Linked DNA regions of Xenopus tropicalis. The protein of the gene in region 2 interacts with the protein of the main gene of each other region in a pairwise test. Links are inferred from orthologs where the notes say so. Each region holds a gene or a part of one and is shown on either strand. Other genes may lie near its edges.

Region 1 (3,653 bases), on a different chromosome or scaffold from region 2:
ATTCATAAAGTGTACAACTAGAATGGCAAAAATCCAACACCCCAGCATTGTGCTTCATTTCCTTAAAGAAGAAGGAAAGGCATTTTGGCATTTTATTGCCAATAGATTCACCACATTAATGCTACCTAGAATGATATATTTATTCTGCAGAAAACATTACCTGAAAAAACAGACATAGAAGCCCCCTCTGTTTAAGATAGCAGCTGCCATTTTAGCTTGGTCTGATTTCACTTCTGTTCCTGCACACTGAGCCTCTAAACTCAGATTACATAGCAGAGAAGGGAGGGGGAGAGAGGAGCAAACTAAGCAGGCTTGTGCCATGCCCCGTAGGATTTTTTTGAGAGTAGGAAGTCTGATACAGAAGATGAGGTGAGCAAGCAGACTTTTATAGGCATCTCTGATAAAATAGGTGTTAAGAAGCCAGCTCCAATTTAAAAGAGTAAGTGGAGCTTTTTCAAGAGTCAAGCACTGGAGACTCCGAGCCATATCTGAAAAATAGTGTTATAATAATACCAATGCAACCAATCAACACAATGTAGCAGCCTTCAGATAACACAAGTGCTACCAATGTGGTACAACTGATGTCACAGGGGAGCCTATAAAGAACAGCAGTTCTGATAAGACTAAGGCTACCACATGATTTGATAATACAACGGTTGCCAATTGACAACAACAGTTCTTATAAGACAACTGGTACCGGTACTATTCTAAAACAACTGTTCCAATAACACATGTAGAACACATTTCCTGGGAACACAAACGCTTCCAATATACCATAGCACTCATGTTCTGTCAATAGAAAGACAACTGCTCTCAGACATGGCGGCTATTGAAGTAATGCAACTGTTTAGGCGGCACAAAGGCAGCCGACAAATTCACACTATTCTAGAGACAAAAATTAAGAATAACCTTCTTCTGCCTGACCTTACTTGACTTTATAAAAGGCTAGTCATGAAGAACTTAAATAAGGAGCAACAAAAAAGAAGAGGGTCAGTGGCCTAAATCACTTCAGATTATATGGATTGAGCTGCAGAAGAGTGGATTCAATTTACCGCTCACGGACAAGTTTATTAATTTTCCTGCCTTCATCATTTGTCTCTGTGCACTACTTGGCAATGTGTTTCACAGCACAGGGTGGGAAGGTCAGGACTCAGGAGCTAGATCTGCTCCCCAACCTTGCTTGATGCACAGAGAACCCCTTGGAGTGCTTGGATTGGCTGTTAATATATAGACATATTGGGGTTTAATGAAAACAACAAGGATGTTCACATGATTTACACATGCGATTGGTGTATAAACATCCACCATTCCCTGTAAACCAAAATAGAGGCTATGGCACACAGGGCATGGTGTAGCTCAGAAGGCGGTGCCAAACCAGCCAATGCGCCTTTACCATAAAGGAAAATAAACATAAATATTGAGTAACATAAAATATAATATATTGTACAGTGAAAATAATGCAGTTAGCAATGGTAACAGCCCACTTAGTAGTGAAAAAAGTAACCTGCAGTAAAACGTCCCATGAACAAGCAGAAGATGGCCTTACCTTTACATAGAGCTGCTGGAATTCATCCAGGTTCAGCCGGCCACTTGGACAGTCCTTCAAGAACCCTTTGTACCACTGTTTCAGCTCGTGCTCATTAAACTCTGTGCTCTTCACAAGATCCTCCATTACTTCAGGAGCAAGTTTGCTGTTCTGTTTCCCCATTTTGTTTCTAGAAAAAGAGAGAGGTGTTCTTAAATTTCTTGTAATATACACATTGTTGACATATTTGGGAAAACTGTGTATGTTTCTTGCAACCTGGCACCACTCAACCTAGGTGGAAAATATAGGGAGCCAATTCATAGGGACACCAGAGCCAAACATGAAGGTCAACCTATGTGGAAAATATAGGGAGTGAATTCATATGGACACCAGAGCCAAGAATGGAGGTCAACCTATGTGGAAAATATAGGGAGCCAATTCATAGGGACACCAGAGCCAAGCATGAAGGTCAACCTATGTGGAAAATATAGGGAGTGAATTCATATTGACACCAGAGCCAAGAATGGAGGTCAACCTATGTGGAAAATATAGGGAGCCAAATCATAGGGACACCAGAGCCAAGCATGGAGGTCAACCTATGTGGAAAATATAGGGAGCCAAATCATTGGGACACAAGAGCCAAGCATGAAGGTCAACCTATGTGGAAAATATAGGGAGTGAATTCATAGGGACACCAGAGCCAAGAATGGAGGTCAACCTATGTGGAAAATATAGGGAGCCAATTCATAGGGACACCAGAGCCAAACATGGAGGTCAACCTATGTGGAAAATATAGGGAGCCAATTCATAGGGACACCAGAGCCAAACATGGAGGTCAACCTATGTGGAAAATATAGGGAGTCAATTCATAGGGACACCAGAGCCAAACGTGGAGGTCAACCTATGTGGAAAATATAGGGAGCCAATTCATAAGGACACCAGAGTGAAGGTAGGTAGGAAACCTGCCTCTCTTGCATAGGGCAAGAGTTAAATGGATGCTCAGGAAAGGGAAGCTTGGATTTCTATGCATGAAGTAGCTTCAAGGTTACCAGTTGTGTAGGCAACTACATTACCTAAGTAACATGTGCCTTAATCATTTTACTCCATTTATACTTGTAAACACCACATTCAAATATTACCCACCCAACACACATTTTTCACAAAACATAAATATTGGCACTAAACTGAGACAGAGGCACCTACAGTACAACTCACTGTTCTACAATCTACAGACCATCTGAGATCATTATGTCAACATTTTGGTTGCTAAGAACCTTGCATTAAACACAATTTCTTTCAAGGTTGGCACTCAGCCCTCTATGACTCTGGCATTTAAACAACGACAAACAGCATTTATCAGATCACACCTTCCTAATGATTTACACTTGGCTGTTCTTTAATTAAGCTAATCTGTTATTTTATTAGCAGGAGATATTACTTTCCCTTTCAAGCCAAGTTGATTCATCAGCAGATGTTTGATTCAGACTCAAGGTGGCTGCCGGTGGGTTTGATAATCATAATATCAAACAGTTTATTGCACTTGCTGATTAATTGTAGTTTGTGCCATTGGGCCACAAACTTGCATTAATGTGACTTTCCAGCAATTAACCCATACATACACTGATGGAAGCCATCAACCACAAACTCATATTGAATGGGTTGGCCAAAAAATTGGTCAGATATAGACACATGAGCAATTAAATACCCCAACTTTGTCATTTGGTTTATCAAACTAACATGCTCTATGTGTTGACCCAAAATAATGCTCCCCATCCAAAATGAAAGCGCCAAACAACTGAAGTGATAACATATGTAGCCACTTTGGCCTGATGTACCTTGGTGAACACGTTATGGGTCATTTACTACATTTACTATGACCCTGGATGCAAATGCTACATCAGAATTGTGCCCCTTAGTGCTCATTCAGAGCCTTTGTGTCAGGCATCTGGCTATTCTCTCCAGAGAGCAGATACTTTCCCTTATGAACACAGCACTTATTAATGTAGGCAGCATAAATAGGGCACATATGTGTGTATGAAGAACACACAGGTCCCTGTGCAACCTAGAAGAGTGCAGGACATGGGGACAAATGTGCAAAAAACATTGGGGCTCGTACCTTTTATATGCA
Region 2 (4,087 bases):
TGCCCCAGTGAGCTTACAATCTAAGGTCCCTATCCCATTCCCATCAGTCCCTGCCCCAGTGAGCTTACAATCTAAGGTCCCTATCCCATTCCCATTAGTCCCTGCCCCAGTGAGCTTACAATCTAAGGTCCCTATCCCATTCCCATCAGCCCCTGCCCCAGTGAGCTTACAATCTAAGGCCCCTATCCCATTCCCATCAGCCCCTGCCCCAGTGAGCTTACAATCTAAGGTCCCTATCACATTCCCATCAGTCCCTGCCCCAGTGAGCTTACACTCTAAGGGCCCTATCCCATTCCCATCAGTCCCTGCCCCAGTGAGCTTACACTCTAAGGGCCCTATCACATTCCCATCAGTCCCTGCCCCAGTGAGCTTACACTCTAAGGGCCCTATCCCATTCCCATCAGTCCCTGCCCCAGTGTGCTTACAATCTAAGGTCCCTATCACATTCCCATCAGTCCCTGCCCCAGTGAGCTTACACTCTAAGGGCCCTATCCCATTCCCATCAGTCCCTGCCCCAGTGAGCTTACACTCTAAGGGCCCTATCACATTCCCATCAGTCCCTGCCCCAGTGAGCTTACACTCTAAGGGCCCTATCCCATTCCCATCAGTCCCTGCCCCAGTGAGCTTACAATCTAAGGTCCCTATCCCATTCCCATCAGCCCCTGCCCCAGTGAGCTTACAATCTAAGGCCCCTATCCCATTCCCATCAGTCCCTGCCCCAGTGAGCTTACACTCTAAGGGCCCTATCCCATTCCCATCAGTCCCTGCCCCAGTGAGCTTACAATCTAAGGGCCCTATCACATTCATGCACAGAGAGAAAATTTTTATGGGGAGCCAATGAACCTGCCTGTTTGTTCTTGACGTGTGGGCGGAACATACACACAGACACGGGAAGAACATACAAACTCCTCGCAGACAGTGCCCTGGGCGGAATCAACCCAGGATCCCAGTGCCCCCACTGACCCCCGTGCCCCCACTGACCCCCGTGCCCCCACTGACCCCCGTGCCGCCCATATTGTTATTTACCATTAGTGATTTATTTGCTTTTTATTCTCATTCAGTTGAATAGGTTTTGGGTCTTCTGTCTCAGCAATGTTGGTATCTAAACCAACGCCTGGTTGCTAGGGTCAGTGTGACCCTAGAAACCAGATAAAACGGTAATTTCTAGGCTGGAGAGCTGAGGAGAAAGAAACAGAAATACCGACCAACTGCAAATTATCGTTAATTCCATTAAAGTAAATAAAAAAAAACTCATTATACAGCGATTATCTCCTTTAACCCTTTTAATGCCACCCACTTTAGAATCTACCTGTTCAGGGTTTCTCTTTGGTCACATGTCACACTTGCCCCTTGCGCCAGGACACAGGTGGGCAAAGGGCATCAGTGGGCGTGTCGCTGCCAGCAGGTAGCAGTGCTATTGGCTAAAAGACACAATCATTCCTATAAATGATCCCTTTGCGTCCCTGCCAGGGTGCTGGCACCCACATTGCAATGTTTACACCTGGGTAGAACCAGTGCCATGTTATAGGGTGGCACCAACAGCCTGGCACCAGTACCCCCAAATGCCCCCCAAATAGGGTTATGGGGGTATCTGATACACTGAGGATATTTAACCCTTGCTGTCCCATATAATATGACCTTTGTACTTCTGCCAAATGCCCCCTCTGCCCTCCCTAGGGGTAAGAACTGAGCCCGCTGCTTGGCATGGCAGCCCAACCGGGCTCATTTAAAGTGACAGAGACGAGAAGGTCACGGAGCTGCCATTCACTTCTATGGGAAACAAGGACAAGATGTGTTTGTCTGGCTGTGCCGCTGCCGCCGTTCCCTTGCCATGGCAACAAGGTCTGTGCCACACTGGGCACCTCCATCCTCACTGTGCCAGGGTACATATTTAGCAACAGCCCCCAGGCTACCGGCAGCGCCTCCCTAAGTGGAAGGAATCTGTGCCAACCCCTTTGCCTTGGAGTCGGTGCTACTTGTTGCAGCAGTCGGAACATCTCATGTGTAACTGGGTCGGGCAAAACTTTACCGGTGGAGCTGGAACCCCAATAATTGTGTTGCCCTTTCCCTGGGCGGAACTGGATCTAGGCACCCAGTATGTGCCCAATATTGCCCCGACAGGGGCACGGGGGGGCTCAGACGGTGCCGGCAGTGTGACCCAAAAGTGTTCTTGAGCTTCTTTCCCAGCATGCCGTGCAGTTTACCCATCACGTTTGGGGGGGCTGTGGGTACTGGGCACCTGTGCACCCTCTTAACTTGGGTGTAACCCTTGCCATGTCCTTATATTCCATATTTGTGCCCCCTTGTTACCCCCACAGGCCACAATGACAGCGCCAGTCAGTGCCCAGTCGTGCCCACGGTGCCACCTATAAATCTGCCCCATTTTTAGCTTTATACCGAGGGTAGTTGGACCCATCAGCACCGTGTTTCACCCCCAGTTAGAGAACATAAGGACTTACCTTTGGAGATGCAAGATCCCATAACGAAGGGCAGGCAGCCCTGTGCCATCCAAATCCTCCCAGAGAATGATCCCCCCTGGCGCCTCTGTTTGGTTTCGCTTCCCCTTTACAGACCTTCCCGACACTCTCTGTTGCCCACCATTCCCACTGTGCCACTGGGGGTCTCAGCAGTCCAGCCCTGCAGCGTGCAGCCCAAGGTGTGAGTTCCCTGGCAGTGGTTGGCAGAGTGGCAGACAGACATGGCAGGGGCAGTGAGTGGGGGTGAGAGAGGGGCTCTGCATACGTGTCTGTGGGTTTGGATTGTACTGGGAATAATGGGAAGGGGGGGACGAGAGTGGTCACGTTGGATGCGGCTGTTGCTCAGAGACTCTCAGACTGTCTGTGCTGGATGTCACCACCCCTTCCCATTCTGCCTGCTGTCTCTGGGAGGTGTCTCGCAGGAGCTGCCAACGTCTCGCTGACGAGCCCCTTTGCTTTCCCTTTTATTCGTGTAGGTGAAGCAGCTGTTGCCATGGGGTGGGTGGGGATTAACCCTGTCAGTGCTGGGGGGTTGCTTTGGATTCGGACTCTGCCAGCAACAGGCTTGGCACCTCCATGTATGATTGTGCCGGGGGGGCAGGCACAAGCTGTATGCCAGGGGCCGGCAACCTGAGGCTTTTCCCTTTATTCAGTTTGGGTCATTGTGCCCTTTAGTCTGGAATTGTGATTCTGCCACTCTGGGCTTTTGTTCCTCAGCAAGGGTGGGGTGAAGGGGGCAAGGCCAAGAGTTGTATCAGGAGTCAGAACCAGCAGTGCAGGGAAAGGGACAGACACAGTGACAGTTACACATAACTATAAACCCAGTGAGAATGAGGGATGAATGGATATTGGGGAGTTGTATCAGGAGTCAGAACCAGCAGTGCAGGGAAGGGAAAGGGACAGACACAGTGACAGTTACACATAACTATAAACCCAGTGAGAATGAGGGATGAATGGATATTGGGGAGTTGTATCAGGAGTCAGAACCAGCAGTGCAGGGAAGGGAAAGGGACAGACACAGTGACAGTTACACATAACTATAAACCCAGTGAGAATGAGGAATGAATGGATATTGGGGAGTTGTATCAGGAGTCAGAACCAGCAGTGCAGGGAAGGGAAAGGGACAGACACAGTGACAGTTACACATAACTATAAACCCAGTGAGAATGAGGAATGAATGGATATTGGGGAGTTGTATCAGGAGTCAGAACCAGCAGTGCAGAGAAGGGAAAGGGACAGACACAGTGACAGTTACACATAACTATAAACCCAGTGAGAATGAGGAATGAATGGGTATTGGGGAGTTGTATCAGGAGTCAGAACCAGCAGTGCAGGGAAGGGAAAGGGACAGACACAGTGACAGTTACACATAACTATAAACCCAGTGAGAATGAGGAATGAATGGATATTGGGGAGTTGTATCAGGAGTCGGAACCAGCAGTGCAGGGAAGGGAAAGGGACAGACACAGTGACAGTTACACATAACTATAAACCCAGTGAGAATGAGGAATGAATGGGTATTGGGGAGTTGTATCAGGAGTCAGAACCAGCAGTGCAGGGAAGGGAAAGGGACAGACACAGTGACAGTTACACATAACTATAAACCCAGT
Region 3 (3,653 bases), on a different chromosome or scaffold from region 2:
TAGGATAGGTCCTTCATTCCTTACTCCGTTTAGTATTTTCAGTTGGCCAGCTGTAGGTAGCTGCATGATTAGGCTGCGGGTGAGCAGCAGTTAAAAGAGCTGTGTGGTTACACAGAGGTTGAGGGTTGGGGGACTCAGAGTTGTTGACTCACAGAGAGGGGTTCACTCTCAGAGCAGGGCACAGGGCAGGAAGGCTGTTTTAGGAACTCCCAGAGGAGCTGGGGGTGCTGCCTGCCACTGCAAGGAGCAGAGGGAGCTGTAACCATGTGAAAGGTCTCAGAGCAGGGCACAGAGCAGGAAGGCTGCCTGCCTGTGTGGGGAACTCCCAGAGGGGCTGGGGGTGCTGCCTGCCGCTGCAAGGAGTGGTGGGAGCCTTAACCAAGTGAGAACCCAGAGAAGTGTTGAATATAAGTGAAGGGTCACCTAGAGAAAGGTCTCTCAGAGGTCAGCGCAAGGCAGGAAGGTTGCCTGACTGTGTGAGGTACTCCCAAAGGAGCTGGGGGTGCTGCCTGCCACTGCAAGGAGCAGAGGGAACCGTGAACATGTGTATGAGTGCAGGAACGACAAGGCTTAGTGAAAAGCCAAAGTGTGCCAGATGCTGGTGAGCTGGTATCCCAGGAGGGGAGAGACAGCAGGGCTGATTGAGTAGCCCGAGTGTTCATGAATGCGAGAGGGATGGTGATATTTATGTTGGGAGGAGGGTGCCCGAAATAAACCTGTGTTTTTTTGTGAAAAGAAGTGATGTCCCTGCCACTATGCTCCTGATCCTCTTCTTACCTGCCTACCATAGCTAATTTCCCCCCAAAATTACATAATTACATGTACAGGCAGACAGCATGTCACAATATATATATAATAAAGTCATATTTTATATTATATATATATTTTTGGGCCAGACTATCGTCAGAGTGCATCCTATAAAACATCATTCTAGATATCTACGTGGTAATACATAGTAATACAGAATATCTGAAACTACACATTTTTAGCAGCATGGGGCTTTTCATTATCGGTGAAGAAAGTCACAGCAGAGGCCTCTTTTATACTGGGGTTAAGAAAGCAATCACAAAACCATCTTAAAATACTTCAGTCATTTTTAAGTCACATGGTACAGACTTACTGGGAATCAGGACAAGCACAATATTTGGTTTTCTTTGTGCTTATAACACGCTGTCTACAGGAATTCTAGTTGAGCAAATTATTTTGACTGAAAAATATATGCACCCCTAAAAGCCATACCCACAAACCACAACTGAGCTATTAGTATGGATTAACAAATTATATTTTGTAACTATAAAACCTCAAGAGCAATTTGTTTAGCACATCCTAGTAACACATTTATTTTTATTTATCTGTGCTGGAAATCATAGAGCTCTGTTTAAACTTATAGGACATTACCCATGAATTACACAGGAGACCTCAGAAGCAGGACCAAACCAGCAGTTTGGAGAATCTGCCAGCTGATTATGAGCTTTTAGAAAGAGCTTTCTGAGCTTTTGAGAAAGAGCCAGCATGTCACAATAGAACTGCTTTTAGATAATCTATTATTTCTTCTACTCAATGTACTGTAAATATGACCCAAGTTGCATAAGGGCGAAGACACACAGAGCAGCTTAGTAGCAGCTACTTGTCACATCTACTAAACTCCAGAAAATACCCTGCCATAGACAATACTGAGAATTACCTTTGCTAAAACACATAGAGACAGTTATCAGTAAATGATCAACATTGTCTCATGTAGCTGTGAAAAGTACCTGCTACTAGTAGCTCTGTGTGTCTTCACCCTAATACAGGGTTTCTATTCTTGAGTCTACCATTAGGTATGTACCACTGCTTCTGCCACTTACTGTATAATGTATTTAGGATCTGGAGTTATTGTTCATAGAAGCCAATGTACCATTACTTACGAGTGCATGCTGTGTGTATATATCTATATACCCATTACTGTACAAGCTAATTGTGGCTAATAGCACATAGGGCAGTTTTTCCACAGTGTATTTTAACTGTCAGAGAAAACCTGAAGCTGCCCTAAATTACTGGGAGACAGTTTAGACAGTTTTGCCTATTTACCCACCCACTAAAATTTAGGACAGTACAGGCAGTGCTATAAGCCCATGAGTGCTATAAGCCATGGAGGCACAATGGCTAATGCTAAACAGGGCTGATTCTTGGCCTGTGGAAAAATGTAGGCCAAGAATCAACCCTTACGCTGGCACCACCCTGCTACTTTGCTTGCACCTGGAAGCATTGTCTCCACCCAAGTGCAGGCAGACGTGGCTATGATGGAAGCCCTGTTACTAGATACTGAAGGAGTGTCAGCTTTCTGGTATACTACTTTTCTAGAGACAGATCTATAATTACAGAGGCAGAAAATTTTTCAAAAGTGGCATTTTCTGTGATGCAAATAATATACTGGAGAAAAGTAATAAGCATACATTGATTTCATTGAAACTTTCTTCCTCTTTGTTCTATCTGCCCCTTATTGTCTTCCTCAACTCCCTTTCATCTCCTTATGGCTTACAGTTCTAACTTCCTGAATGCTATTTGAACTCCCTCTCTCCTGTAAGGTATTTCATAATACCTCTATTATTTCCAGCATCTCCAGTCGTGTGATCTTGCCATCTCCATCCAGATCATACATCTCAAAGGCCCAGTTGAGTTTCTGCTCAAAGCTTCCCCGTGAGGTGACACTTAAAGCACAAATAAATTCCCGGAAATCAATTGTTCCATCTCCATTCTTGTCAAATGTGCGGAAGGCATGTTGAGCAAATTTAGAGGCATCGCCATATGGGAAGAACTGAAAAGAACAGTTTACGGAAGAGAGGGAATTACATTATCTGTTATGAAAAGAAAAACATATAAAAAAAATAACTAACACTTATCTAAATAGGAAATAGGGCTACTTTTTGCCTTATATCATTAAGAAATAATCTTTCCTGCATCACAGCCAATTTGTTGCAATTGCACTGTAATGGTAGGATGCAATGACCCACTGCCAAGGAGCTTATTTGGGATACTCATTTTCTGATACTGAATGCTGGTTGTTTGAATAAATAAGTGGTAGCCCCACAGAGTAATGGTCATACAGACTGATAGCACATATCTATGTTTGCACTATGTTGGCCACCTTTACCACTGCCACTACACGTGTAGCTTTACAATACAGGATCCCTATTAATTGCTAAATCATCAGGGTATGAGATGGCCCTGGGAAACAGCTGCTAGCCAGAAACAATTCACTATCACCATGGCACTATATGCTTACTGTATTATTCTTAGAACTAAGCAAGTGTACTGGTAATGCATTGTCATGACTTCACCATTATGCTATAAATAAACAAGTGGACTGAAGGATGGGCACACAAGAAGGGGGTAGCATTCTCTAGTGACAGTTGGCAGTAGCATATCTGATTTAACAAGGAATGATTTGCTTGGGTGAAACATAAATTAAAACAACACTTTACTTGTATTGGCATACAATTATTCTAGATGGCCTCAATTATTCTAGATGCATGGATAACACAGAATTTTAAGGGAGCATTTACAAAAGTATGAAGCTCCATATGGGTCATTTACTATTGCATTCATGATGTAAGTGTATCTATGCCTATATATATATATATTTATATCAAAATAAAACAGCCAGCACCAAG

The links.
Region 1: the proteins of fam131c (region 2) and vsnl1 interact in binary tests that used the Homo sapiens proteins (3 or more experiments, as listed by UniProt). The two-hybrid records come from large-scale screens. The link is inferred for Xenopus tropicalis from reciprocal best matches to the Homo sapiens genes FAM131C and VSNL1.
Region 3: the proteins of fam131c (region 2) and hpcal4 interact in binary tests that used the Homo sapiens proteins (3 or more experiments, as listed by UniProt). The two-hybrid records come from large-scale screens. The link is inferred for Xenopus tropicalis from reciprocal best matches to the Homo sapiens genes FAM131C and HPCAL4.

What each region holds. Positions count from the first base shown.
Region 1 is NC_030681.2:141,644,514-141,648,166, reverse strand, and holds part of vsnl1 (visinin-like protein 1), read right to left. Parts: intron 1,716-3,653; coding exon of another isoform or gene 1,709-1,715; coding exon 1,547-1,708; intron 1-1,546.
Region 2 is NC_030683.2:131,465,596-131,469,682, reverse strand, and holds the start of fam131c (protein FAM131C), read right to left. Parts: upstream 2,923-4,087; 5' UTR 2,509-2,922; coding exon 2,460-2,508; intron 1-2,459.
Region 3 is NC_030678.2:90,987,852-90,991,504, reverse strand, and holds part of hpcal4 (hippocalcin-like protein 4), read right to left. Parts: intron 2,798-3,653; coding exon 2,582-2,797; intron 1-2,581. UniProt on the Homo sapiens protein: May be involved in the calcium-dependent regulation of rhodopsin phosphorylation.